Canis lupus familiaris: one gene and its partners. The protein of the gene in region 2 purifies or fractionates together with the protein of the main gene of each other region. This does not show direct contact. Links are inferred from orthologs where the notes say so. Each region holds a gene or a part of one and is shown on either strand. Other genes may lie near its edges.

Region 1 (8,030 bases), on a different chromosome or scaffold from region 2:
GCATACATTTAACCATGTATTCTGTAACTGACACAAAGATCATACCATGCATGCAGGCTGTTCTGCACCTTGCTTTTTTACCACTCAGTAACACATCTTAGCTAACTTTTGATATGCTCAACAGATTTGCCATCCGTTATAGGATACATCATAATTTACGTTACCAATCTACTACTAACATACAGAGATTTTTCCAAAATTTCTAGTATTAAAAATAATACTTTAATAAACACCTACATACATACATCTTAGCAAATTTGGGGGAGTATAATCATTAAGTTCCAAACTGCAGAATTTACATGGCCAAAATATATTTTTATCATAATGTCAAAATGCCCTCCAGAAAGTTTACACCACTTTTCCTCCCTCGAGTAGCAATGATGATCAAAATTTTTCATTTGTGTCACTGTAACAGATGAAAAATAGTATCCAAATTACTGTTTCAATTTACACTTTTTTAATTATGAACGAAGCTGTAGCTCTTTGTTATATTTACTGGTCATTTAAATTTCTGATTCCAGGGGCACCTGGGTGGTTCAGTCAGTTACCCGTCGCCTTTGGTTTAGGTCGTGATCCCAGGGTCCTGGGATGGAGCCCCACATCAGGGTCCCTGCTCAGCAGGGAGTCTGCTTCTCCCTCTCCCTCTGCTGATACTCCCTGCTTCTCCTCTCTCTCTTTCTCAAATAAATAAATAAAATCTTATTTAAAAAAGTTTCTTATCCCATAAGCCTCCCATCCCAATCTTTTTCCATTTTTGTATTTAATTGTTCATTTTCTTTAAAAAATCATTTCCAAGCCTTTGTAGACAGTCTGGAAGAATTCTGCATCACTTCTTAGTTTGAGAAAAGCAAAAGAAAAAAATAATGCAAGATTCAAATTCAAAAATTTATTTCACTTGGCATCCATTAATCATCTGTTTATTCTCTGCTAGGCAGTTGTATGATTAAAATCACTAACCAATACGGACTTTTATTTTAAAAATTCCAAGAAAAACTATCAAATATCAAATTTCCCACCCAAACTAAACTGCTGATAGATTCTTTTTAGTTATTAGTTCTCTATTAGAGTATCCCAAGTGTAACAAATGCTGGAGAAATAAGCATAAACGCAAACCCTTCATTACCATCTACATTTACCTTATAGTTGTTCCAGTACAGTGTGTCCTGGGTGATTTTTTCACCAAGTACAGGATATGTCTGAATAGCTGCAGGCTTGTACCCAGACATAATTTCATTCGGTTGGACTGTTATCCAAGGATAAATAGTTGAAACTGACGTTAGAAATAAGTGACTGCTTTATGTCTGAAAAAGAAAATATTTTATATATATTATTCTCAAACCTGTATAGTTACCATTTTCACGTTGTGTCTTTTCAAAAGGCTGTGTAGTAGTGACCAATAAACCATTTAATTCTAACACAGAAGAAACAATCTAGAAGATGCAAGTAGAATACAGATAGGGCTACCAAAGTGCACCATCCATTCAGTTATACACAAAACTGCACACAAATGTTCTCACACTTAACTAACCAATTTATAACACACGGGAATACATCTCGCTTAGCCACCCAGTAGCCAAAGCAGAAGTAGTCCACTGGCCTAGACTGTTAACAACGCAAAAACATTAACGTGAAACTGCAAATACAAGTCTCCTGAAACTAAATTTAGGATGACATTTAATTTATTTGAACATGGTCTAGGGTCTTAACCTCCTGAAAGTCTTACAAATACCAAAAAGGAAAACAAAGCTAGGGACGCCTGGGTGGCTCAGTGGTTGAGTGTCTGCCTTAGGCTCAGGGCGTGACCCCCGGGGTCCCTGGATCGAGTCCCACATCGGGCTCCCTACAGGGAGCCTGCTTCTCCCTCTGCCTGTGTGTCTGCGCCTCTCTCTCTCTCTCTCGAATAAATAAAATCTTAAAAAAAATAGAAACAAAGCTAATATTCTAATATAGAAGCTTAAAATTAAATTTGAAAGCTTAAAAATAGGGATCCCTGGGTGGCGCAGCGGTTTGGCGCCTGCCTTTGGCCCAGGGCATGATCCTGGAGACCCGGGATCGAATCCCACGTCGGGCTCCCGGTGCATGGAGCCTGCTTCTCCCTGTGTGACTATCATAAATAAATAAAAATTTTAAAAAAAATTTTTTTCAAATAAAAAAATAAAAAATAAAATAAAAGCTTAAAAATAGGGCAAACCGGATGGCTCAGCGGTTTAGCGCCGCCTTCAGCCCTGGGCCTGATCCTGGAGACCCGGGATCGAGTCCCACGTCAGGCTCCCTGCACGGAGCCTGCTTCTGCCTCTGCCTGTGTCTCTGCCTCTCTCTCTCTCTCTCTCTGTCTCTCATGAATAAATTAATAAAATCTAAAAAAAAAAAAAGAAAGATGGACGTTCATTTTTTTAAAAAGCTTAAAAATAAAAGGTAATATTCTGATGCAGTTCCAATTTAAAAGCTTAAAATAAACATTTTTTAAAAATTAAAATGAAAAGAAACAAGAATAAAGCAATTCTGAAATTAAATTCTCAATTTAAATGACAGAATAGGGGACGCCTGGGTGGCTCAGCGGTTGAGCATCTGCCTTCGGCCCAGGGTGTGACCCCGGGGTCCTGGGATCGAGTCCCACATCGGGCTCTCCGCATGGAGCCTGCTTCTCCCTCTGCCTGTGTCTCTGTGTCTCTCTCTCTGTGTCTCTCAGAATAAATACATAAAATCTTTTAAAAAATAAATAAATGACAGAATAGGATAAAAATGAGTTATAACTTTTAACTGACATGGAATTAAGCCAAAATGTCTCTCCAGGACTATTCAACTGCAAAAGAAATTCATTTTATCTGTGGTGCAAATCATCATCTGTTTCAAAAGTCCTGAAAAGAGTGCACCAATAACACCAAAATAAATAGGTATGACATTTTCTAAAGGTTGTTTTGATGAAACATAGCAACCAACGATCAAAAGGAAACTGTTCTGTGCAAGTACCTACGATATACAGGACACTGTTCTAGGTTCTGGACGTACAACACTGAGTAAAACAAACAGTGCCCTCACACCCTCCGATATTTTCCATTTTAGCTGGTGAGTGGCAGAAGCTAGGAATATGAAATTTGCCTTGACTTGTCCTTCCTCTTCACTTTTAACACCCAAAGAATTAACAAGACCTGCTGATTTTACCTCCCTAAACTTCATCACGTCCACTCCGCCAGGTTCCACTGCTCCGATCTAGACCTTCCCATCTACAGAAACAGCGCAATGTGAGGTCTCCTTGACTCCCTTGCCCATCATCTAAACAGCCGTCAGCAAGACCTGACTACACAGCAAATCAAGCTTTTGCTACAAAGCACAACACTACCTGAAAACAAGGGTCCGACCTGCTCAACACACCCTATGATCTGGCCCTAACTTACCTTTTCAGCTTCACCCCCTTGCTATCCCTTTAACACACCCTCCTCTTTCTTCTCTGTCTTTGCTCATCTGTCCTCTTTGCCAGGAGTGAACTCTTCTCTACCCACTTCTTTCTTATCTTTTAAAGCTCAATTCAAGGATCAGACCCTCCACCCTTCTCTGAACTCCTAATGGCACTTCACTGTGCACATCTGTCAGTGTGCACTGTCAACGCTGCGTTTGTAATACTCTCTTCTTCCCATTAAACTTAATTTCCTATCTGGAAGACTTTCTTAAGTGCTTAAAGAAAACCTGGGGAAGGAATGAAAGGAAGCACTGTGCTGGGTTCCATGGAAGAAAACAAAATTAAAGGCACAAGTGGTGTCGATAGTACAAACACTACTCCGGCAAGAGTGAACAGGCCTCTTCTCTAAGGGGCCTGATGATAAATACCTTAGGCTTTGCAGGCCAACAGGCAAAACGGAGATTATGTAGTTATAAGAAAGCAGGCAAGAAAAAAAAATCCCCCCCATTTTTCTTTTTTTTTTTTTTAAGATTTATTTGTTTATGATAGACACAGAGAGAGAGAGAGAGAGAGAGAGAGAGAGAGGCAGAGAGACACAGGTAGAGGGAGAAGCAGGCTCCATGCAGGCAGCCTGACGTGGGACTTGATCCCAGGACTCCAGGGTCACGCCCTGGGCCCAAGACAGGTGTTAAACCGCTGAGCCACCCAGGGATCCCTCTTTTTTTTTTTTTTTTTAAATAACAAACACCCCCCTGCCAAATAATTATAGGTACAATTTTCTATTTACGAGTGAAAAGAAGAGACTTTTTTGGACGAAGGGAAAAGCACTTCACTTACTTCGGGTTCGAGGTCCGTGTTTCCTATCATCGGACACCTTGCAAATACTCACCTGTAGAAAGCCTTCCAGGCTCAGCGGCTGCCCGAGGAAAAAAAAGCCGCCGGCCTCCACCCCTCCACTCCAGCCTGCGGGCCTCCCCCTCTCACCGCATCGCAGGCAAAACCACCCCTTACAACAGCAGCCGCAGCGGAGTTCAGAGCTCCGCCTGCAGAGAAACCCCTTAGAGCTCTAACAGCGGGCAGCCCCGGGGGTGGGGTGGGGGGGCTCAGCGGTGGGCACCTGCCTGTGGCCCAGGGCGCGACCCCGGAGACCCAGGATCGAGTCCCGCGTCGGGCTCCCCGCAGGGAGCCTGCTTCTCCCTCTGCCTGTGTCTCTGCCTCTGTCTCTTATAAATAAAATCTCTTAAAAAAAAAAAAAAAAAAGGAGGGGACACCTGGATGGCTCAGCGGTTGAGCACCGTGACCCCAGGTCCCGGGATCGAGTCCCGCGTCGGGCCCCTGCGGGGAGCCTGCTCCTCCCTCTGCCTGCGTCTCCCTCTGTGTCCTGCGTGAATAAATAAATAAAATCTTTACAATGAAGCGGCTGGCGGATGAAAGGGAGGAGCGGCGCGGAGGGGGGGCGCCCCAACGTGGAGGGGGCGAGGAGGAACGCGGCCCGGGAGAGACGAGAGCCCGGGCGGCCGCCGGCGCACGCGGGGCGCGCAGGGCTCGGGGCCGAGGCTCCGCCCTCCCCGCAGCCCCGAGGCCGCCCGCGCCGCCCGCAGCCCGTGGGAGCGGCCCGACCCCGGGGACCCGCGCGGGCGCGGTGAGCGCAGACACGCGGGAGCGGAGCGCCCCGCGGGGACGCAGAGCCGCGCGGCCGGCAGCCAGGCTCGGCGGCGGCTGCGAAGCCTGCCCCCGCGGCCCTCCCCGCGCCCGCCGCTCCGGGCGCCCCGGGCTCACCTGCCAGGACCGCGCGGGCCTCCCGGGGAGCCGCCGACACTCGGCACCCACGCTCCGGCGCGTCGCACAGCAGTGACGCAACGACGTCGGCTGGCGCGCGTGACGCGGCGCGAGAGGGGCGGGGCCGGGGCCGGGGCGGGGCCGGGCGGCGTCGCCGCGGTGGCCCGGTCGGGTCTCGTCCAGGGACCGGCGCTCCGTGGTGCTCGCGCCCCGACGACCGCGCGGCGGCGGGGAGGACCCCGCAGGGCCTCCCGGGGCGGCGACGCGGGGCGTTCCTGCCGCCGGGAGCCGGGAGGAGGCGGCGGAAGTGACGTCACGCTCCCACGCAGCCGGGGCTGGGGGCCTGCGGAGCCCGGGGCCGCAGATGGAAAGGCCCGACGGGCTGTCGGCGGTCGAAGGTAGTGTGGCGGCCCCGCGCCGGTGGGGTGCGCGCCGGGCTGCGGCCCTCGGCGAGCTGGCGGCGGGCGGCGGGGGCGGTGGCGCCTCCTTCCCTTGCAGGCGACCTCGGGTGACCCCGGGCGACCCCAGGTCCCGGAGGGGCGGGGCTGCTGCTCCCAGGGCCCCCGGGTCTCCGGGTCCCTGCGCCCCCAGCCGCGCGGCCGGCTCCATCCTACCACCCCGCCCCCATACCCCCCCCCTCCGCCCCGGCCCGTCCCTGGAGTCTCGGAGGAGCTGCAGGGCCCATGTTCCGTCCCCCGCCTCCTCGCCCCGGTTTCCCCCTCCGAGACTTAGAATTCCATTCCGCCTATAAACCCAGATTTATTTTTTTCTTTAAAGACTTTATCTATTTATTCACGGGAGACCCAGGCAGAGGGAGAAGCAGGCTGCATGCAGGGAGCCCGACGCGGGACCTCGGATGCAGGACTCGAACCCGGGACCCCGGGGTCACGCCCTGGGTCGAAGGCGGGCGCTTCACTGCTGGGCCACCGGGGCTGCCTTGTTTATTTATTTTTAAGGATTTTGTTTGCTTATTCATGCGAGACACAGAGAGAGAGGCAGAGACCCAGGCAGAGGGAGGAGCAGGCTCCATTCAGGGAGCCCGATAGGGGACTCGATCCGGGGTCTCCAGGATCACACCCTGGGCCCAAGGCAGGTGCCCAATGATGAGCCCCGCAGGTGTCCAAGTTTGTATGGTTTTTTTTATAAAATATTGTATTCATTTATTCATGAGACACAAGAGACAGAGAGGCAGAGGGAGAAGCAGGCTCCGTGCAGGGGCCTGGAAGCAGGACTCCAACCGGGACCCCGGGGTCACGCCCTGGGTCGAAGGCGGGCGCTCCACCGCTGGGCCACCAGAGCTGCCCTGTTTATTTATTTTTAAGGATTTTATTATTCGTGCGAGACACAGAGAGAGAGAGAGAGAAGCAGAGACACAGGCAGAGGGAGAAGCAGGCTCCATGCAGGGAGCTCCATGCAGGGAGCTCCACTCAGGACTCGAACTCGGGACCCTGGAGTCAGGCCCTGGGCCCAAGGCAGGCGCTCCACCACTGAGCCCCCCAGGGATCCCCTAAACCCAGTTTTACGATGTTGAAGATGTTTCGAGCCACAAAGAATATTAGAGATGTCTATTTCAACCATCTAAATTGTATAAAGTAATAAAATGACTCTCGGAAATCGTATTGTGATTGTTCCGTCCAGGGTCGCACAGGTAGTGAGTGGTGATGTCGAGAAGAAGGTGAAGCTGAAGCTCATTTAGCAAAGCCTTCGCTGGGCATCTTGCAGGGTCATTTCAGGATAGAAAAGAATATGGAAACGATGTCAAAGTTCAGGTCAGGAAGCGTTTCTGGAACACCTGATAGCATCACACCCTGCCTTGTGTGCAGAGATTAGTAGTGGTCTCTATCCTACATTCCATGTCTTGGGAGTTAAGTGGAAATTTTCAAGAGAACGATAAAATACTGAAAATAGAAATAAGTGCAGTGTGCTAAGAGAGCTTAGGACCCTTGCTCTGCGCAGGGGTCTGTGGGAGATGGTTCTTCTCTCAGGAAACAGTTCATATCTTGCGATACATTTTTAAAGCCCTTTGCTCCTCCATCTCCATTTGAATCATAGCTCATTTTCTGTTCTGGTTTCCTTCTTTCCTTTTGCTGAAGTATGTTGACTTTGTTACCTGTTACTCCTGTTACTCTTTTTATCACTATTGTTACTATTTGTTATTTCTTCAGCCTTGTCCCTTGGAAGTTTGGATTAGTATAGTGCTGCTTCTTATTTTAGTGGTCAAGGTAATGTAGCCAAAGCCCGGGATGGGTCCATCATAATATACAAGCTCCCGTTTCCTCTTCTCTACATAGGAAAGAACAGTTAACTACCATCACTACTCAAAGGATTGCTATAAGGATCAATCTTGGAAAATGTTTTAAAACCGAAAATAGTGGTCATATGTAAATGTATGGTTTGCCAGCCTCTGTTCCACTGTGATCCTAATGCATTTTTTTTTTTAAGATTTTACTTATTTATTTGAGAGAGAGAGAGAGCAAAAGCAGGGGAGCATCAGAGGGAGAGGGAGAAGCAGGCTCTCTGCTGAGCAAGCAGCCCGACGTGGGACTGGATCCCAGAACCCTGGAATCATGACCTGAGCCAAAGGCAGGCACTTAACCAACTGAGCTACCCAAGCAGTCCTGCATTTTTCTTTTTAAATTCCAATTTTATAACACCCTGCACCCTCTCAAAATTCCTAAGAGGCAGTAAACCCTAAATAAAAAGATGAACCAAATGTTTTGATTTTCTTCCTGTCTCAGGGATTATATGCATTGGGTATTTATAGTCTTGGAATTCTTAATTTTTTAAAGCAGTTTTAGGTACAATAATGAAATTTTCTTGAAATTATATTAAGGTTTTTAGGGAAGTACCAATG
Region 2 (6,510 bases):
AGGAGGCTGGCAGACAGTGAAGGTCACCAGCCCTCTGAAGCCTCAGGCATGTGTTAGGGAAGAGAAGGTAAGTACCATCTTTTTTTCCCTGAGATTGTGGTCTAAAGAGCAGGACCCTGAAAAAGTTGGATGAATGTGTAGCTGCTCAGAACATTATCCCAACTACAAATATCTTGGAGTTTCCATTCACTGGAGTCAATGAAGGGAAATTACTGTTCATTATTCTGGAAAACATTCATAATGACTCGTCCTAAAGAATAACTTTGTTTTATTATCATGATTTGTGAAAACAAACAGGGTAGACAGTTCAAGGAAGGACACAGACAGTGCCCTATTTTAGGTCCCAAATTTCTTCTTTTTGATGGGTGGTGGAAGTTGAGCGATGATGTCATCCAGGGGCCGTTCTACTGCTACCAGGGTTCTTTCATCCAAAAGATCCATGAAGAGCAAAGGCTGTGGAGAGATGATAATGACTCTACCAGGAGTTAGGCTCCAGGGCCAGTCCTAAACAGACTAACTAGAGCTAAACAGTCAGCACAGTTCAAGGCTGGAGGAATCAAAATTTCTGAGGACCCTTCCTGTCCTAGGACTCAAAATGGTTCATCAGGTTGGAATTTTTTTTGAAAACTATTTTATCTATCTAATCAATCAATCTATCTAATCTATCTATCTTAATCTTAATCTTAGGGCAACTGGATGGCTGAGTCAGTTGAGTGTCTGACTCTTTTATCTCAGGGTTGTGAGTTCAGTCTCCATGTTGTGCTTCATGCTGGGCATGGAGCCTACCTAAAAAATTTTAAAAATAATCTCTACACCTAATGTGGGGCTCAAACTCACAACCTTGAAATCAATAGTAATATATGCTCTACTGACTGAGCCAACCAGGTCCCCCAAGGTTAGGAACCTTTTATTTTAAGTTTATTTTTTTAGTAATCACTGTGCCCAATGTGGGGCATGATCCTGAGATCAAGAGTCGCATGTTCTTCTGACTGAACCAGACAGGCACCTCAAGGTTGGGAACTTCTGAGTTCACAAATAAAAGATTTCAACAAGATTTTTCATGTTTTTCTATTCAGAACATTTATTCTCTAACTTCTTAGGGATCAACGTTAACTTCTGGAGCCTGAATTCTTGGCAAACAGCAAGTCACAAATGCATTAAGAAACTAATCATACTTAAATAATTTACAGATGTCCCTCTTTAAAAAATATTCTTGCAAACCCCTGAGGAAATGTTCCAGGACACCCAAGGAACTCTAATCTGAGAAGCATGAGTGCGGAACTTCGAAATTGGCACAAAACAGCTACAGTATCATAAGCTTAATGAATATTTGTTTCATATATAGTGGAAAGGCTTAGCCCAGAATGGGAAGTCACAATAAATCCAATGACTTCCACTTGTTGAAATTTATCTGGTGGAAAATTCTCCATTTAGAAGTCACATTTAAAGCCAGCTTTAACACAAAGACACCACCTGAGCGCCACCATGATTTCTCACTAGGTATGTATTTCATTCTGGTTAAGTATTATGTGCATACCTCTCATATGTTGAGGTGTGAATAATGAAATGCAAACATAAGGGACAAACATCCTCAGAAAGGTACTTGACTTTACAAACCAGGCTCTCTGCACATAAAAGGTGCTCTTGTCTGCCTACTGTGGAGATTACATTTTGATAATATCACAAGGAACCAACCATCTAGAATATAATGCAAGATGTTTTACCTTATATATCTTAGAAATTTTAAAGGCATGGGCGGTACGCCTCCTGATAACATCTGATTCGTTCGTGGGAGGAAGTGGATTGTAGAATAAGGTTTTGTCATTTGGAAGAGGCTAAAAAGACAAAGGCATACTGTTTAAATCATTATTTTTATTAGGCTTCTCCAGAACAAAGGACTATAGTGATTTTTCAGGCAAACACTACCCTTGAACATCATATGAGACATTTACTACCTCCTTGACTCCCATTACTTCAGGAAAAGCTGTAGTCACATTTCCAGCTGTACTGCAAGAGGGTGGGAGCATGAAGCAAAGAGCATGGTACTCTCTAGTCCAGCAAGACCAAAGGGACCAGCCAGAGCTTCTGGCCAGTCTTGTAACACTTTGTGAGATGGAACAAATTGGCACGTGCAGAAGCTTAGCGCACGCAGGCTCTGCTTTCTAGACTCTTCTCCCAACCAGATCACCAGACAGGCAAAGTGATTAAAGTTCTCCCCAGGCCAAAACCGAAATACAAACCACCCCCACTGATGTCACTGACACTTTGAGAGATGGCCTCTGGCCAAACAAGTGATATTTCATCTCTGACTTCCTTGGGAAATAGCTCTGCCCAGCATGAGGAACTGATGGACTTATCACCCATGCTTGACAAAAAATATGGACCTGCCTGGGCTGAGTTACAATGAGGAAAGTGAGTGGGAGGGGCCCTTCCTGTATCACTCATTCTGCAGAAGGCACTTGTCAGCCAGCTTCGTTTCCCACGCCCAGAGGACAGAGGGTCTGGGAGATGTGTTGCAGTGACACATCATGCACACCTCCTTTAAGGCCATCTGCTACTTTCCTCTCAGTTCCTTCCCACCCCCACCTGCACAGATATACCAAAATACAGTGTGTTGGTTGTAATCTAAGCCCAGGGTACATTATAGGCAAGGCCACAGCTATTACTGCTCCTAGGAAACAAAGTAGCGGTCCAGAGAAGGCATGTAAATTGGGGTGAATCAAAACAGCAGCTAGCAGAGGCTGGAATCTGGAAATGAAAAAAATGTTCACAACCCCTCTAAAATCACAGCCATGAAGAATGAAATTTTCCTGGCTGGACTTTTTTCAAGACATTATGACCAATTCTTCAAGCTTATAGATACTATTCCAGCATTTTCAGGCAAGGGGCAAAAGTGGTCAAAACCTCAGCCTGTGTCTCCTTTAATAAAATTGTGTTATTTAGCCACCCCAGGGTGCAGAGATAGAAGTAATTCAGCCAAATCAACAGTCTTCCCCATGAGAGTTACCTTCTGAATACTCATCTAATCACTTTCGTACTTAGGTTTATATGTTTACAGGAAAAGCAGAGAATGCTTAAGTCAGCAAAAAACAGTACACAAATGCCTGCCCCTACCCTGGGAGCCTCATGGGGCCTGGGAGTGAAAATGAGGAAATCTGCAAAACAAAAGTTCCTCTCTCCAAAGAATAGGTCAGGAAATTTTATTCTGATTCTCCTTTCTCTTGGTTTTAGAACTTGAAAATTCCTAAGTACAGAAAAGTCAGTGTCAGCACAAGTGGTAGCAGTGAGGAACTTACCAATGACTTGTCAATGATGCAGAACATGTAGGCATCATGGAGAAGGATGTGCATTGGTCTCTTGGGATGAAAACTGATATGTGTGATGGGAGTGTCCCTTTGGAGCCAAAGGTAATGAAACCCCTGCTTCTGGATGGTCCGGCTCCACTCTGTATACTGTTTGTCTGGGATACTGTACTCAAATACCTAAAGAAGGATAGGATACACAAGAAATGCAGGCTGACACCCAGAAAAACTAGAAGGTATCCCTGATTCCTAACCAGAAAGTATCTATACAAACCCTAACTGCATCATATTCAGCCTTATGCCTACTGGTTTTTTTTTTTTAAGACTTTATTTATTTATTCATGAGAGACACAGAGAGAGAGAGGCAGAGACATAGGCAGAGGAAGAAGCAGGCTCCATGCAGGGAGCCCAATGTGGGACTTGATCCCGGGTCTCCAGGGTCATGCCCTAGGCTGAAGGTAGGCATTAAACCACTGAGCCACCCAGGGATCCCCTTTCTGTTTTTAAAGTAAAAAAAAAAAAAAAAAAAAAAAAGTTAATTAATTAATTAATTACAGGACACTAAACAATTAAACCAGAAAGGTTTACAGTGAAATTCACCCTGTCATCTTGACACCTCTCCTTCCCAAAACAAGAGGAGCCTATTTACATCTTTTCAGATCTTTTATGCATACAATACATGCTATTCTGCATGTTGTATTTTTTATTTAGCATTATATCATGGAGACTGAGCCATGTCAGTATCAATAACTACAGCTATATATCCATCACTCTTGCTCCTCTCACACATAATGTATTCACATTTTTTTAAAAATTTTTTTTAAAGATTTTATTTATTTATTCATAGACACACACAGAGAGAGGCAGAAACACAGGCAGAGGGAGAAGCAGGCTCCATGCAGGGAGCCGGACGTGGGACTTGATCCCAGATCTCCAGGATCACACCCCAGGCTGCAGGCAGCGCCACCGGGGCTGCCCCATGTATTCATATTTTGAAAAAAAATATTTTCTATTTATTTATTCATGAAAGACACAGAGAAAGAGAGGCAGAGACATAGGCAGAGAGACAAGCAGGGTCCACGCAGGGAACCCGATGAGGGACTCGATCCCGGGACCCCAGGATCACACCCTGGGCTGAAGGCACACGCTCAACAGCTGAGCCACCTAGGGATCCCAATGTATTCACTTTTTGGACGTATCATGATTTACTTATCTAATTTGTTTAATGGACATTTACACTATTTCCAATCTTTTACTGTTACAAAGCTGCACTGATTATCTGTCTTTTTTGTACTACTGAAGGCATAGATCTATAGGAATAACTTTTTCTTTCTTCTTAAAAATTGACTGATTGGTGGGATCCCTGGGTGGCGCAGCGGTTTGGCGCCTGCCTTTGGCCCAGGGCGCGATCCTGGAGATCCGGGATCGAATCCCACATCGGGCTCCCTGCACGGAGCCTGCTTCTCCCTCTGCCTATGTCTCTGCCTCTCTCTCTCTCACTGTGTGCCTATCATAAATAAATAAAAATTAAAAAAAAAAAAATTGACTGATTGGGATCCGGGATCGAATCCCACATCAGGCTCCCAGTGCATGGAGCCTGCTTCTCCCTCTGCCTATGTCTCTGCCTCTCTCTCTCTCTCTGTGTGACTATCATAAAAAAAAAAAAAGATTGAGAGAGAGAGAGAGAGAGAGAGTGCAAGTGCGCCCGCGCGCCCAAGCATGTGAGTGCACAAGGAAGAAAGAACCCTAAGAAGACTCCACGCTGAGTATGGAGTCTGAGGCAGGGCTCTATCTCACAACCTTGAGATCGAGACTTGAGCCAAAACCAAGAGTCAGATGTTTAACTAACTGCACCACCAGGCATCCCAGGAAGAACTCTTAAAATTGGAACTTCTGATTCAAAGATTATGTGTATTTAATTTTTAAAAATGCATCTCAAAGTGTCCTCTAAAGGGGCCATACTAATATATACAGTGTATGAAGTGGTATTTCCTGTATCCTCACAGCATTGTGCATTATCAACTGTACTGATTTTTGTTAACCTAACAAGTACAAAAAAATTTCCTACTAGATTTAAAGCACCTAAGGGACCAACTGCCAGAAAAAGGCATCAGGTGGACATTATGTGTGATAAAGACAAGCATGTGGGGGATCCCTGGGTGGCTCAGCAGTTTAGCCCCTGCCTTTGGCCCAGGGTGTGATCCTGGAGTCCGAGTCCCAGGATCGAGTCCCGCGTCGGGCTCTCTCTCTCTCATAAATAAATAAAATAAATAAATAAATAAATAAATAAATCTATCTTTAAAAAAAAAAAAGAGACAAGGATGTGGCTTCACTAATCTTTCGGTTACTGAACAAGGTCACAAACTCACGAAACTGAAATGAAAGGTTTCATTTTGTGGATTGAACACACACACACACACACACACACGTGAGTGTAAAAACTATTAAAGTAGCAAGCATCAGTTGCCCAGCAATCTACTTATATGTGCTACTCAGACCATACTTTATTTTTCCAACAGCTCAATGAGAGAGGTATTATGCCCATTTTACAGATCAGGATCATCGTCAAGTACTGATCATTTCACAATGTATTCCATTTCACAATAGCTATAACTCAGTTATTTTAAAGATTTTCTTACAATTTGGTATAGAAAAAAGCAGTAGGCTATGCACTCATTTTGGCTACTCTTTGCAATGGCCTAATTTCTGTATCTGCCAAAGTGAAGGCAAATTTCATGATTTTTTTAGTCACTCCCAACTTCAAGGTCTTATTCCATCCCATATCCAGTCTAACACCTGGGTCCATATCATCTCTAGTCTAAAATAACGAGGGGCACTGAGATGGCTCAGTTAGTTAAACGTCTGCCTTTGGCTCAGATCTCTAGGTCCTGGGATCGAGCTCTGCATTGGGCTCCCTGCTTAGCAGGGGAGTCTGCCTCTCCCTCCCCCTCCACCACTTATGTTCTCTCTTGCTAGCTCTGCTCTCTCTCAGAAAGAAGTAAAACAATCTTAAAAAAAAAAAAAAAAAAAAATTAAAATAACCAATAAAATGAGTACTTCAAAATCCTTCCTTTTACTCTATAATCTCAGAGCTTCATCATTCCATTGTGCCCATCAAGCCAAAGGATATTACTGGCCTATAAATACCCAAGCTAGATACATGGAAGCTTTACTTTGCAGAAGAGAAAACTACCTGTGTATCTTCCAC
Region 3 (7,107 bases), on a different chromosome or scaffold from region 2:
CAGTATACAATTTGGAAACACAGTGGGTCGGCATTACAGTGGACAGTACTGAGGTGCCATAACGGTGAAGACTGATGACATTAGATTAATAAACTGTATGCCTGAGTTGCCTCTAAAAGAAGGGATCAACAAATAGGCATATGAAGGGTAGGCACCATAACCACTGCGGCCTGAGAGGACTCATGGGTAACATCACTTAGAGCTGAAAAAATCATAGCTGAAGGTTTTCATGAATTCAGATTTGAAGAGAATGAAGAGTAAATAAATGTCAAACCCTCCTACCTCTCAGTGTTTCTTGGATGTGTCCCTTGGGGTTTCTCTTCTTATTCTGATGCTGGAGCATGAGACCTGGGTGTCCGTACATTCACTCCATGGGAAGCTCATGCAGTCTCGTGGCTTTATTGTCACATACCTGTCAATACCAAATCTCCATTCTCCCCTTCTTCCTGTTTGTCTCATTGACATCTCACTACAACAATCACTGGCATGTGCTGGCCACAGGACCTTTGCTTCGGCGCTTTCCTTGCCTAGAACACTCTTCCAGATACCCACTTGCTAAGTTCTTCACCCCTCTTAGTCTATGATCAAATCTCACCTTCTCAATAAACCCTAACCTGATCATGTATTTAATTCTACAACCTACACTCCCCCATGCAGGCTCCCCATTTCCTTACTCCACTTTCCAACCCCTGTAAGTTACCACCCTCTAACATACTACACAGAATTTACTTATTCTTTATACATCGTTTTTGCCTGTATCTTTTAGAACATCAGCTCCTCAGGACAGAATTCAGTGATATATATAACAAGGAACTACATATCCCCTGGCACAGAGTTGGCAATCAATCAATATTTGTTAAATGAATGAATGTACCATGCTAAGAGACAACTTCCACAGAAAAGTGTTCTCACTACCAAGATCCAGTTTCTGACCCTCAAGCACCCCTCTGCACTACAACTTCCATTCAGAAACCTAAAAACTTGACCTCTACATATGTCAAAACACTTATAACCAATATAGTCATCTGTACTGAAAGAACTTTTTACAAATTAATCTCAAATACCACTATTTAGTATTCTTGCCCCAAAAGAAGAAAATTTAAGCCAGAATCTAATCATAAGAAAACAGACAAATCCAGATTGTAAAACATTCTACAATACAGCATAATACATGTGGAATCATTTAAATATCAAAATCATGAAACACAAAGGGAGAATTCCGATTAATATAGCAGTAACACAACCAAATACAATGTGTAATCCTTGATGATGAACGGAAAGTGAACTTTTCAAAATAAAAGGTTGGGGGTGAAAAACTAATCTCAGAAAAGATGACCTCAGCCACACACTGTTGTTGCCTGGACTAGTTGTTGAACAACATTGTGAAAAACACCCTGAACCAGAAATGTCTTTGGAACAAGCCTAATTAAGCCCTCGATGTCTAACCCAAAAAGTAATTAGGAAGCAATCACTACACCCTACAGCCTTCTACTCCTTCAGGGAGAGTAAGGTATAGTGAAATCAGACTCCCAGACCACAAGGCAGGATGCAGTACATGAGCATGTAGGTCCTGGAGACTGCCACTGCAGCCTCGGGCTGTGGAAACACCACCCAGCCAGTGGAGCTGCATCGAAATTCAAAGTTCTTGGTTCATTCACTACACTACCAAGTCTAGGGTTTCCAACAAATCCTGAGCACATTTACTTTTTAATGCTAGTGGAATAAAATTGCTTTTCTTGATATATTCACACAAGCCCAACCATATGGGCTGTGTTCCTCTACATATATCACAAGACAAGCACTGGGTAAAGATGAATATTTATTCACTTTACAAAGAGAATGGTATTAAATTGTCATAAACAGTTCCATTTATAGACAAATATAACTGTACATTACACCAGTAGCTGGCTCAAACTTACTTTCCCAAGATGCTTGTGTGGCTCCAGCTCTATGAGTAGAGCACAGAAATCTCTGTTCTGCCACTGATGTTAAAAAGTCCCTCAGAGATAATGGTTTTTGTGTTTTACATATTCACAGGTGGTAAAAATAAACCCATCTCCCCTGCCCTCCCTTAGAGTTGAGCTTCCATCTGCATGTTCCCTAGTGAGCACTAAACAAATACTGGCTCATTTAAAAAAAAACTGATAATATGAGGCTTTTGTAGCACACCAAAATACTTATTTATACATACATAAAAAATCTTGAGTCAGATTTATTATTTTAAAGGTAAACAGATATCCTAACACTGCCAAGAGTGGATAATGAAAAGGAAAACATTAAATTACTGAATTATAAAAATATTTTCTTTGGAAAAAAATTCCAACAAGGTTATCATTAATATCTAAAACCAAAGAGAAAAAATAAACAATTGTTCTTTGATCCATTAGTAATTTAAATAAAAATGAAAACCTCTTCAAAAGCAGCTATAACTGAATTCTTTAAAAAGTTGCAGGTAATGAGTACTTCTAAATCTATACACTGATGATTCTTTACAGGCAACTTGCAGTCAAGAAAAATCCTTAATATGGCTAATTCTTTAGTTTTTTAATTACCATAATTTTTTGTGTGTTTTAAAAAAATATTCCACATGACAGGTTAAAAAATAAGTGGCTGTTTGGGGGAAGCACTCCAAATATTCAACCTGACTCAAATCAGATCACCTCCATTAATAGATAAGCTAGGGATACTGATATTTAACTCTTAAATCCCAACCTTTTTTTACTCCAAATCTTTAGTTACCCTTTCATATTTTATGAAAATGTACTAAATTAAAAATTTTCACTAGTGCTGCTTCATATCTGGATCTGATGAAAGATACCAACCTGAGATAAGAGCTGACTCCTTCACAAAAGTCCAGTTCTTGAAACCCTACATGGGAAATGTGTGTCTTCACTTATGTCAATTCTTGCTAGAACCAACCATACTGGGATATTATATTATAAAAATATACCAAATATTGGACACTCATGTCAGTACATTGCAGAAAATGTGTCTATTTGCTGTGTAAAGTTTATTAACATTTGAAGGAAACACTCTTATTTACACAGTGAAGTCTGGGGTGCTCAGGACAGCGAGACGGCATAGGGACCAGCACGAGGAATCTGGATATGTGCAACAGTCCCTGGCGCCTGTCCCAGAGACAACCCTTCCCAGGAGAAGTCGGCAGCATGGGGGAAGGCGCGTGCCAGAAGTGACAGAGGTCCATCAGCTTGTTCTCCATCCTCATTCTTCTTCACTTTCATTTTCAGGATCTAAGTCAGAATCTCCATTTAATTCTTTCTCACTGGCCACATCCCTGTCCTCCCCATTCTCCTCATCTTTTTCCTCAGCATCTTCCTCTTCTTCTTCGTTCTCTTCATCAACATCCTCATCTTTTTCACTTTCATTCTCCTCCTCATCTTCATCCCAGTTATCCTGTTAGAAAGAGATGAAGCATAGAAAACATTCATGAAGCCCTTGTTCATACAGACTAGAAGGGTATAAAGGCAGATTTATGGACCAAAAAACAAGGTACTCACATCAGAGTCCTTCTCTGCAATTTCATCATCTGACTCCTCTTCAGAAGATTCTGCAAGGGGAAAAACTCAGCCTTAAGTATGTGATCTACTCTGCAGAGGGCAGAGCCCTAAAAACTAAATAAACAGAGTCAGATTCTTGAATTTACTTTTAGAAATATTACATTCAGTGATCATCCATTTAAGCAGTAACATTAATAATCTTATCTGCATAAAAGTCCATTAATTATTCCACCAAGATCTCACTGGGTAGGACAAAGTACCAAAACCCTAACAAAATCATCTTAAAAAACTAAGCCAAGGATGTGGAGAAAAGGGAACCCTCATGTGCTCTTGGTAGAAATGTAATTGGTGCAGGCATTACTGAAAACAGTATGGAGTTCCCCAAGAAATTAAAAATAAAGCTATCAGATGATCTGTCAATACCATTGCCGGACATATGTCAAAGGAAACAAAATCAGGATCTCAAAGAGATCCCTGCACCGCCCCCATGTTCACTGCAGCATTATTTACAACAACCAAGACATGGAAACAACCTAGGAGTTCATTGATGGGCTGGATGGATGGTTAAAGAAAATGTGATATACATTCAGCCATTAAATTCCATTCAGCTATTAAAAAAAAGGAAATCCTCCTATTTGTGACAACACAGATGGTGAGGGGACTGTACTAGGTGCAATAACTCTGGAGAACAATACTGTATGATCATACTCATGTGTGCAGTCTAACAACACCAAGCTTGTAAGACACAAAGAACAGACTGGTAGTCACCAGAGGTATGGAGAGTGTAGTAAAGGAGTGAAAAGCAGAAGGTACCAAGTTCTGGGGTACCTGGGTGGCTCAGTGGTTGAGCACCTATCTTCGGCTCAAGGTCATGATCTCAGGGTTCTGGAGTCCCATATCGGGTTCCCATGGGGAGCCTGCTTCTCCCTCTGCCTATGTCTCTGCCTCTCACTCTGGCTCTCTCATGAATAAATAAAATCTTTTTTTAAAAAAAGGTACAAACTTCCAATTACAGGTCAGTCCTGGGGATATAATGTACAGCATGGTAACCACACTTAACAATACCATACTGTGTACTGGAAGCTGTTAAGAGAGTAAAAAAAGTTCTCAGCATAAGAAAATAACCGCAACAATGAGTGGTGATGAATGTTGATTAAACATATTATGGTAATCATTTCACAATATATATACAGAGATCAAATAATTATGTTGTATACCTAAAACAGTACAATATTATATATAATTATATCTCAATAAAACTGGAAAAAGTCTAAGTAATTAATAATAAAGTCTAATTTAGGTATGCTTTTATGTCCTTCAGTTATGTTTTATCATGTTCTCTATAAAGGTTTTGTTTCACTTATATTTCTAGGTACTTCTAGTTTTGATTGCTGCTGTGAATGAAATCTTTTTTCCTAATATATTTTCTGTAATACATTACTGAGACAATCATACTACTGACTCCTTTTTGTGATCTTGGGATTCCAGTAAACTTGTTTATTTTCATCTCATTAATGATGGTGTAACTAGATTCTGCTTCATTTTCTAAGTTGAGAAGGATAACTGCCAAGTCCAATGTTCTAGGATTCACTTCTTTCATACAATACTAGGCAGGATATGCAAAAGTAATAAAAGGTGCATTATTGTCTAGTTCCTGACTTTGTGGGAATACTTTTAAACTCTGATAAGACTAAGGAAATTCCTTTAAATTCCTAAGTTGCTTGGATTATCAATAATAAGATGATGAAAGGCTGAATTTTATTGAATTCTTTTTCTGTATCTACTAACGTATATTGTTCCCTGTTAATTTGTTAATGTGGTAACTATATTTAATAGATTTCCTGCTAATTTGCCTTAGAATCTTTAAATAAATTCTCCTTGGTAATGACATATTCTTTTACACAAGCATTTCTATAATAATCAACTTACTATTCAGGATATTTGAAGATGACCTAAAATCTTATTTCCTTAACTATCATTCTTATTTGGTTTGACTCATAAAATGCATGAGTTGTTTATACAGGACAAAAATGAATTGTTCGTTGAAAGATTGACAAAATATACCTATAAAAACTCTGTGCCTGCTAAGGAGGGGACTTGATGGGACGAGCAATGGGTGTTACACTATATGTTGACAAACTGAATTTAAATAAAAAATTTTAAATAAAACTCTGTGCCTGACATCTCTGAGCAAAGGTTTTGATTAAATCAATTTAAGGCCACTGGCTTATTCTACGTTTCTATTTCTTTTTTCTTTTTTTTTTGGTTTCTATTTCTTTTTAAGTCACTTTTGGTCATTACTGTTTCCTAAGAAATTACTTATTCTCATCTAGGATTTTAATGTGCAATGTGCTGGCATAGAAGTTTATTCATAGTGTCTTCCTATTTAAATATCTTCCACACCTAGTGTGCCTTCTTATTTACTGTACATTTGCACCTTCTCTTTTACTGGATCATATTTTTGCCACAGGTTTGCCCATTTTCTTAGAAAAAGCATGCCATAGCATGATCTTACTCACATTCATATTCTACAAAATAAAGGTAACAGAACTCAACATTAAATAATGAATGTTCCAATTCTAAATTCCACACTCCCTTCAAGCCTCACCTTCCTCATACACCAATTTTGCCTTTTGCGCAGGACAAGTCATTTCCTTTGTTTTTTCTGATGCTGTAACCTGAAAGGTAATCAAGTGTTGTTAGGAAGAGTACAAGGTTATCTCAAGGATGGCAGCCACCACCATGCTCGCTCCACCTTCCCAAACAGTGAACTTGCCCTCAAACACTACGATGGATGACCTCAATAGGAATACAGACCAAATACAGGGCAAAAAATAAATTTGTCAAATACAAGAATAAAGAATTATTCTGTAAAAGTTGAACCTCTTAAGGTGATCAGAATTTTTCTGTGCCAAAACTGTAACTGAATAAATACCCTGTAACTTGCTATTCATAGTAGCACAACCATCCTAACTCTATCAAAAACTAAAATAGGATGCTGAGGGATCCCTGGGTGGCGCAGCGGTTTGGCGCCTGCCTTTGGCCCAGGGCGCGATCCTGGAGACCCGGGATCGAATCCCACATCGGGCTCCCGGTGCATGGAGCCTGCTTCTCCCTCTGCCTGTGTCTCTGCCTCTCTCTTTCTCTCTGTGACTATCATAAATAAATAAATAAATCTTAATAAAATAAGATAAGATAAGATAAGATAAGATAAGATAAAATAAAATAAAATAAAATAAAATAGGATGCTGAGAACCTTTGAGGAAAAGCTGAATCAGGCATAAGTTTACTTACTATCAAATATATAACATTTCCAAGTTAAAGACTGGATCCTGATTTATCAATTTTTTGCTGAAACATGGGGCTTTCAATGATCAGGTAAACATTCCTTATTCCTCACTCTATTCCTATCACATTCAAAGCTTAGCACAAAACAATCTGATTTACTCACTTGAGTGATTAGAAGAATAAGCTTTCCGTGAAGATGTGAGAGTTTCTGAAAAGTTTTTACTCTGCTTTCCATTAATTGGTATAGTGTTCCCAGCTGGGGTACCAGATCAGGCAACTGAGGGGAGAAAAGATATCTCAT
Region 4 (7,819 bases), on a different chromosome or scaffold from region 2:
GGAAATGGCCAACTTTTCATGTGTGTGGGCCCCGCTCCCTATTTATAGCAGCAATGTCCACAATAGCCACACTGCGGAAGGAGCCTCGGTGTCCATCGAAAGATGATGGATAGAGAAGCTGTGGTCTATGTGTACAGTGGAATATTCCTCATCCATTAGAAATGACAAATACCCACCATTTGCTTCGACGTGGATGGAACTGGAGGGTATTATGCTGAGTGAAATAAGTCAATCAGAGAAGAACAATCATCACATGGTGTCACTCATACAGGGAATATAATAGTGAAAAGGATTATAGGGAAGAGGAGGGGAACTGAGTAGGGAAAAATTAGAGGAAAACAAATCAGGAGAGACACCTAACTCTGGGAAACGAACAAAGGGTAGTGGAAGGGGAGGCAGGTGGGAAAGGGTGACTGGGAAACAGGCACTGAGTGGGGCACTGGCCGGGATGAGCACTGGGTGTTATATGCTGGCAAATTGAACTCCGGTAAAAATATACATAAAAAATGAAAAAAAAAAGGGTGCAGATAAATAAAAATAGAAAATAATAAATAATTAAGAAAATCGATGAAACCAAATTGAAAAGATTAACAAAATGTTCCATTGACAACATTTAGATACACTAAGAAAAAAAGAGAGATGATGCAAATAACTAAGAACAGAAATAAAAGTGGGGACATTACTACCAATCTTACATAAATAAAAAAGATTATAATAGAATAAATATGAACAATTAATTATAAGCAAACAAATTAGGAAACCTAGATGAAATGAGAAAATTTCTGAAACTTATGAATTACCAAAACTAACATAAGAAGAAACAGAATTATTTCAACAGACCTATAACAAGTAGAGACTGAATCAGCAATCACAAGCCTCCCAGCAAAGTCTAGGAGCAAGTAGCTTTATTGGTGAATTTTACCAAATATTCTTAAAAATTAACACCAATCGGGGATCCCTGGGTGGCGCAGCGGTTTGGCGCCTGCCTTTGGCCCAGGGCGCGATCCTGGAGACCCGGGATCGAATCCCACGTCGGGCTCCCGGTGCATGGAGCCTGCTTCTCCCTCTGCCTATGTCTCTGCCTCTCTCTCTCTCTCTCTCTGTGACTATCATAAATAAATAAAAATTTAAAAAAAAAATTAACACCAATCTTTCACAATCACCTAGAAAAAAATAGATGAGGAAACAATTCCTAACTTGTTCTATTTGGCGAGCATTAGTCTAATGCCAGGAGCCAAAAACACCACAGAAAAGGAAACTATCGGTCAATATTCCTTATTAATGTAGAAATTAAAATCCTCAAAAAATAGTAACAAACCAAATTTTAAAGCATACTAAAAGGATTATACACTATAACCAAGTGGTTTATCCCAGAAATGCAGGAGTGTTTCAAAATATGAAAATCAATGTTGTAATACACCACATTAATATAATTAAGCAAAACCCCCACACAATCATCTCAACTGACACAGCAAATTCATTTGACAAAATCCAACATCTTTCATGATTAAAACACTCACCAAACTAATTATAGAAGGGAATTTCCTCAATAAGATAAAAGGAATTCATGAAAAACCACAGCTAACATCATAATAGTGAAGGACTGATCCCCCTAAGATCGGGAATAAAACAAGAATGTCCACTTTCACCATTGCTATTCAACCTTGTATTGGTAGTTCTAGTCAGACCAATTAGGCAAGAGAAGGAAACAAAAAATACACAAACTGGAAAAGAAGTAGTAAATATTCATAGATAACATGATCTGATAAATTAAAAAATCCTAAGGTATACACAATAAAGAACTATTAGATCTATAAACGAATTCAGCGAAGTTGTAGGATGTAATACCAATACACAAAAATCAGTTTTTATTTCTAAACACTAGCAATTGAGAGAGGATAAGTAGTGAGTGCTTAATGGTAAAGGCTTTCCTTTTGCGCTGACAAAAATATTCATGATAGATACAGAGAGTGATAGTTGTACATTGTGAATATATTAAATGTCACTACCAACAACTTTATGTATGTAAAGGTCACCACAATTTAAAAAAATAACTCTGGTGCCTAGGTGACAATTGCAGACCAAATACATCAGAATCTCTGGGGGTTGGATCAGGTTTCATTATTTTCTAAAGTAACCCAGGTACTTCTTCTGTATAGCTAAGATTAACTACTTGTTTACATATAATAAAGAGAATTTAGTAAGTGGTTGATATAAATAGAAGATCCTTTGGGAATATGGCTGGCATAAAGTATTTTGCAATGCCAGGTACTTAAAACTATAATGTTTTGTTTAAGTTCGTTTTATTGCATAGCTTTACTTAAGAGCTTTATTGCATAGCTGTCATTAAAATGTGCAATTTTTAGCTTTATGAAGTTATTCCCTATTGCCCACTCTCTCAACCTGAGATCTGAGAGTTCAATTGTAGTCTTTAAATTTTGAGATGCCATTTTGATAATCTGAGAAAAAAAAGATCAGTACAGCAACAAAAGTTTTCTTTTATAATGAAACTTCCCAATACATCTCCAATCTGTAAAAAATAAAATAATCTTACCTCTGTTTCCTGTCTTCATGAACGCCCTCCATCTCCCTTCCAGCTATCATGTTTCTTCCTTTCTCCGTTCACCAAAACTCTGAAGGAGTCCTACTGTCTCTAATTGTACTCCTCTATCCTCTCCCGAACCCACTCAAATCCCATTTTCTATCCCATCACTGCATCAAAACTGCTATCAAAGCCCCCAGTGATTTCCATTCTGCTCAGGACAGCAGTCAGTTGTCTTCCAGTTATTTAATCAGTCACACATGACAGAAGGATCGATTCTACCTCCTTCTTCCTTTGACTTTTTTTGATGGCATATATCCTCCTGTTTTCCTTCTTAAGCTGCCCAATCATTTGCGGGTTTTTTCTTCACCTTCCCGATGCCTCAGACTCAGTCCTTGGACCCGCTCCACGTTCTAGGTACACTCCCCCCATCGGTGACCTCAGCCTGCCCCGCGGCGCCTCCGTGTCACCCGCACGCAGATGGCTCTCGGGTCTCTATCTCCGGCAGAGAATCCGCTAGGCTGCAGCAGGAGCGGAAGCCCACTCAGCCTCAGCGTTGAGATGGCTCGTAGGACGGTCATACCCAGGGGCACCCCCCAAAGTCTGTTTCCAGTCTTTCCTTCACGGCACATGGTGACCTCAGTGCTCAAGGTCCCAGTTCTGGAGTCACGTCCCACATCATCCTGCACACATTTCATCTATCAGGCGGCCCCCACGGGAGGTCACGGGAGGTCACGGGAGACGCGGGGGGGGCGACGGGAGGTCACGAGAGGTCACGGGACACGCGGGGGGGGCGTCGACGGGAGGTCACGGGAGGTCACGGGAGACGCCAAGGAGGGTCGACGGGAGGTCACGGGACACGCGGGGAGGGGGGTCTCCCTTGTGGCGGAGGGAGGCGACCAGCAGACTGTGGGCCGGAGAGAGGCTCAGCCGCGGTGGTTAGAGCTCGGGAGCGCCTGGCGTGAACTCGGGTCTCTAAGTCACCGCTTAGCCCGCACGTCTCTCACGCCGCCCACACGGAGACGGCCGCCCAGCGGAGCTCGCGCCACGGACGCTGCGGCCTCGAGGAGCCGCCCCGACTCCGCCCCCAGCCCGGCCCCGCCCCCGGCGGAAGTTCCCGGCGGGCCGCCCCCGCGGCTTCTGCGCCTGCGCGAAGATGGCGGAGGAGGGGACCGTCCGCGTGGTCCGCTGTGGCGGCAGCGAGCTCAACCTCCGGAGAGCCGAGTTCTCCGCGGATTCCAAGTACGGGGCCGCGGCCTCGGCCGCCGGGTGGAGGCGGGAGGGGGCAGAGGTCAGGCGCGTCGGGCTCGCGGACCCGCGGTCCCGGGCTCGGGGGGCGCGCGGGCGCCGGGGCCTGAGGCTGCGGCGGAGTGGAAGCTCCGCGCTGTGACCCCGACGCTGGGCGCGCCTCTGCCCGGGGCCGCTCGCCCGCGGGTGGGTGCAGGCCCGGGGGACCCCGCGCCCCCGAGTCGGCGCGGCGGGGGGGCGGGTGTGCGCACGGCCCCACGGCACCTGGGGAGGGGTGGGCGCGGGGTCCCGGCAGGACCTCGGGAGGGGCGGGCGCAGGGTCCCCGCGGCACCTGGGGAGGAGATGCTCCAGGGTCCCCGCAGCACCTCGGGGCGGGGGGGAGGGCGCGGGGTCCTGGTAGGACCTCGGGAGGGGTGGGCGCAGGGTCCCCGCGGCACCTCGGGGAAAGTATTTTGGCAACCTTTGGCAGCTTTGCGTGATGAATCGGGGTGTTCGTTTCTGTGCGGGATAACAACATATGTAAACCCTGGTCCCTTTTCTCAGGAGTTCGGTGTGATTGGAAACTAAGATGCTCGCTAGGTTTAAAACCTGGTTCTTCCGTCGTGTGATCTTTGCAAGTTCTTAATCTTCTCTTCAGTTGCTTTTCCCGTAAAACAGGAATATTTTGTAATCCATCTCCTAGGGTTGTTGAGATTGCTTAAATGCTGTCAGGCGTAGAAAGCAAGTAAACAGCCTGGCAGTTAATGGCTTAGTGTTCGTCAGTTGTCATCTTCCTTGTTGCTCCCTTGTCAGCATCATGTAGAAGTGATACCTTGTAGGAAGAGGTTTCAAATTTAAGGCCGGTGACCCTTAGTAAAAACACCTTCTGTCTTGGAAGAGTCAAGATAATAGCTTAGGAAAGTTCATATCCCTCACAAAATCTTGCTTGTGGCCGTATGATACTTGTTGAACGCAGGCGAGACTGAAGGAGCTTTCAGGAGCGTTCATAAACTGCCCTAAGAGTAAATCCTTGATCCTTCCATGAAAGAGGGTTTTGTTGATATTTATCTTCTACATCAGGAAGAAATGGAGACTTAAAGGGTGCCAAAGTGCCGCCACTCTGGGCCTAGATCTAGGTATCCACTCTCTTTTTCCCCCGTGTACTGTCTCTCCATTTTACTGTAACGACACGCAGTATTTTCTTTGCTAAGTCTTACAATTTGTTTTCAAGTATTTGTCAACTATGTATTATTTATGACAAGTTGATACGACAGAAATTAAGATAACTTTAATATAGATCCTACCTTCAAGACCTTACAGTCTTGATGATGAAAAGAAAATAATTTGAAACGTGTTTCATAGTGTGGTACTTTGGAAGTTCCTAAGTAGGAGAGAGCACTTCAGACTGAGGGTGGGCGGTTCCCAAGGAAGTGATATTTAGGCTAGGCCTTAGCAGGTGAGTGGTATCCTGACTAGGGGATATGGACAGGGGGCGTTGCAGATAGCGGGCACGGGCAAAAGGAGTAGAAGCCTGAGGATACTGGACAGACTATGGTCCAGTTAGCTAGTACGAATGGTGGATGAAGAGAGCTCGTGACGGAAGAGGAACATGAAGCCGGCTCTTGATCGTTTGGTCCAAAGAGTGTATATTTTTATTCAATAGGTGGAGAACGATGGGAGGTACATGATTGTGTTTCTTCAAGAAAAATTAATCCGAAACCCATTTATAAAACTGTGTAATAAGTGGTGGAGAGCAGCAAGATCAGAGGTGGGTTGGCTTAGCATACTAGAGGTACAGTGTTGGCGTGGAAGGGAGAGTGATGTTGAGGTTTCCCTTCACTATAGGATCTTGGAAGAGTAACAGGAGTTTGCCCCACCAGTGATATTGGGGGAGGATATCCAGGCAAAGTGTGCAGCTTTAAATTGCTGGGGTGATGTGAGGGATAAGGAGTATCACGTGTGTACGGTCAGTACAGCATAAGTCTAGGGGAGAAGAGTCTGGAACAGTATACACCAGGGCTTAAAAGGCTAATGCAGGCATCCAAGCAAGACATTACTTTGGCCTGAGCTAAGATAATATTAAAGATGAAAGGGATGCCTGACACCTGGGTGGCTCAGCGGTTGAGCATCTGCCTTCAGTTCAGAGTGTGACCCCAGTGTCCTGGGATCGAGTCCCGCATCGAGCTCCCTGCAGGGAGCCTGCTTCTCCCTCTGCCTGTGTCTCTGCCTCTCTGTCTCATGAATAAAATCTTTTAAAAAAATATTGAAGATGAAAAGACCATTTTGGAGTGATGTAGCAATTAGGATTATTGAGAAGATGATGAGTTCATCTGGGGGGCTGTTGAGTTTAAGGGTTAGGGAAATGACCAGTTGGACAAGCAAGGATTAGGTAGAAATTCAGTACTGAAGTTTGGGGAATTTGGTGAAGATTTAGCTATGTTTTTGTTGTTGTTCGGTTTTTGTTATCTATGTAGAATGTAGCAATTAAAATCAGTTCTCTAGCAAATTAATAGGGTTTTAGTGAACTTATCAAGGAGTTGAGGATTATCAACAAGCGTTGGTTAGTTAATACAGAAAGAATAAGGTAATTTTGTATTTTGCTTCAGGGAGCTTATCAAGAAATCTGAAACAGTAAATAAAACCATAGAATTGTGGCATATGCAAGACATTCTCCTGGTCACTGGGTGCTCTTGGAATTAGGACACAAAGACGTGTGCAGGGGGTGTTCTGAGAGGCAAGCCGAGCGCTGGGTGTCCATGACAGTAGGTGACATTCCTGTGTCTGGTATCACGGACTCCAGGTCCAGCACTGTCTGTATTACATCCTGTTACTTCCCACATTTACAGGATGCTCTGCATTAGGTTGCTAGGGCATAAAAGATTTTAAAAGAAGTCATTTTTGCCATTTGCATTCCTGAATTCTCACAAAGCTAATGTCCTTCTCTAGATATTTTTCTTTTGCAGGCCATTCTGTGTACTGCTGCTGTAATAATTTTCCTTGTGTTACTGTCATAATATTATTATTCTCACCCTTAGTCTTGCTCAGAACCCTGTAATAATCTTTTGTTGCCGTCCTTAAATACTGCTCTTTTGTTTGGCTTACAAGGCCTTCCGTGATCTAGCTTGAGTCTGCTCATCCAGTGTGTTTCCTGACATAACCCACTGTACACACTTTGCTTGTTAGAAAGGTACATTTCCAATTTCTTGTTAGTTGTATCCCAGCTTTTGCTTATGTTGCTATTTTTCCTTCCCAGCTCTTAAATTATGCATCCTTCAGAGCCTCATTTAAGTCCTGATTCCTGCTTTAAAGCATCCCTAACTTCTTGCTTCTCCACTTCATCAACAAAGATGAGTTGAGTCCTATGTGACAAGCATTGTGGTAGGTGCTTACATGCATTTCTGTCTACAAGGTTAGGTATTATTATCCCAATTGTATGGAAATATTTACTGAGTGTATACTGTGTGTATTAAGGGTGCATTTGCATGTGTTGTTTCATTTTATCCTCATAGTCACCCTGTGAGAAATCTTAGAGTGGAGAACAGTGACATTTTAGAGAAGTTAATTCTCCCAATATTATTCAGCCCATTTGTGGTAAAGCTGGCGTTTGAACCTATTTGTGTTTGACTAGTTAAAAAATGCGTCGTTCCCTACCATACGATACTTTTGTTACTGGATTTATAATAAGTACAGGCACCCTTCCTCCCCTGAAAGAGCTCACAGTCTGGTAGGGGAAGTCTTCCAAGGATGTCATGTGGTAAGTGCTGTGATAGAGCTAAGCCTGCCATCTTGTAGAAGCATTCAGAGTGGTGCTGATGTGGAGTGAGAAAATGTGAGGCTTCACCTGAGCTGAATTTGTCTTAAGGAATTAATTATAAAGTGTTCTGGGTAGACCACAAAATATACCAAAGCCTGGAGAGAGCATTTTCCTTTGGGAGCTTGCATTCAAATTTAAAGCCATTCTCTGCCAGGGAGCAAAGAGAGAGAGGACATTCCTTTCCTCTGGGGAAGCCTATCAGTTTGGAGTTTTCTTGGCACATGGTACCCTCTCC

What was found.
Region 1: the proteins of UTP4 (region 2) and UTP15 purify together in Homo sapiens (co-immunoprecipitation; 4 studies listed by BioGRID and IntAct, counting the BioPlex papers as one, with this or other methods). This does not show direct contact. The link is inferred for Canis lupus familiaris from reciprocal best matches to the Homo sapiens genes UTP4 and UTP15.
Region 3: the proteins of UTP4 (region 2) and WDR43 purify together in Homo sapiens (co-immunoprecipitation; 5 studies listed by BioGRID and IntAct, counting the BioPlex papers as one, with this or other methods). This does not show direct contact. The link is inferred for Canis lupus familiaris from reciprocal best matches to the Homo sapiens genes UTP4 and WDR43.
Region 4: the proteins of UTP4 (region 2) and WDR75 purify together in Homo sapiens (co-immunoprecipitation; 3 studies listed by BioGRID and IntAct, counting the BioPlex papers as one, with this or other methods). This does not show direct contact. The link is inferred for Canis lupus familiaris from reciprocal best matches to the Homo sapiens genes UTP4 and WDR75.

Annotation. Positions count from the first base shown.
Region 1 is NC_049223.1:55,617,276-55,625,305, reverse strand, and holds the start of UTP15 (U3 small nucleolar RNA-associated protein 15 homolog), read right to left. Parts: upstream 5,260-8,030; 5' UTR 5,177-5,259; intron 4,742-5,176; exon of another isoform or gene 4,669-4,741; intron 4,560-4,668; exon of another isoform or gene 4,519-4,559; intron 4,420-4,518; exon of another isoform or gene 4,235-4,419; intron 3,939-4,234; exon of another isoform or gene 3,826-3,938; intron 1,302-3,825; 5' UTR 1,227-1,301; coding exon 1,137-1,226; intron 1-1,136. UniProt on the Homo sapiens protein: Ribosome biogenesis factor. Involved in nucleolar processing of pre-18S ribosomal RNA. Required for optimal pre-ribosomal RNA transcription by RNA polymerase I.
Region 2 is NC_049226.1:81,057,049-81,063,558, forward strand, and holds the end of UTP4 (U3 small nucleolar RNA-associated protein 4 homolog), read right to left. Parts: intron 3,483-6,510; coding exon 3,297-3,482; intron 1,836-3,296; coding exon 1,725-1,835; intron 454-1,724; coding exon 337-453; 3' UTR 252-336; downstream 1-251. UniProt on the Homo sapiens protein: Ribosome biogenesis factor. Involved in nucleolar processing of pre-18S ribosomal RNA. Part of the small subunit (SSU) processome, first precursor of the small eukaryotic ribosomal subunit.
Region 3 is NC_049238.1:22,838,790-22,845,896, reverse strand, and holds the end of WDR43 (WD repeat-containing protein 43), read right to left. Parts: intron 7,084-7,107; coding exon 6,970-7,083; intron 6,197-6,969; coding exon 6,127-6,196; intron 3,569-6,126; coding exon 3,519-3,568; intron 3,415-3,518; coding exon 3,223-3,414; 3' UTR 1,803-3,222; downstream 1-1,802. UniProt on the Homo sapiens protein: Ribosome biogenesis factor that coordinates hyperactive transcription and ribogenesis. Part of the small subunit (SSU) processome, first precursor of the small eukaryotic ribosomal subunit.
Region 4 is NC_049258.1:51,738-59,556, forward strand, and holds the start of WDR75 (WD repeat-containing protein 75), read left to right. Parts: upstream 1-3,629; 5' UTR 3,630-3,698; coding exon 3,699-3,784; intron 3,785-7,819. UniProt on the Homo sapiens protein: Ribosome biogenesis factor. Part of the small subunit (SSU) processome, first precursor of the small eukaryotic ribosomal subunit.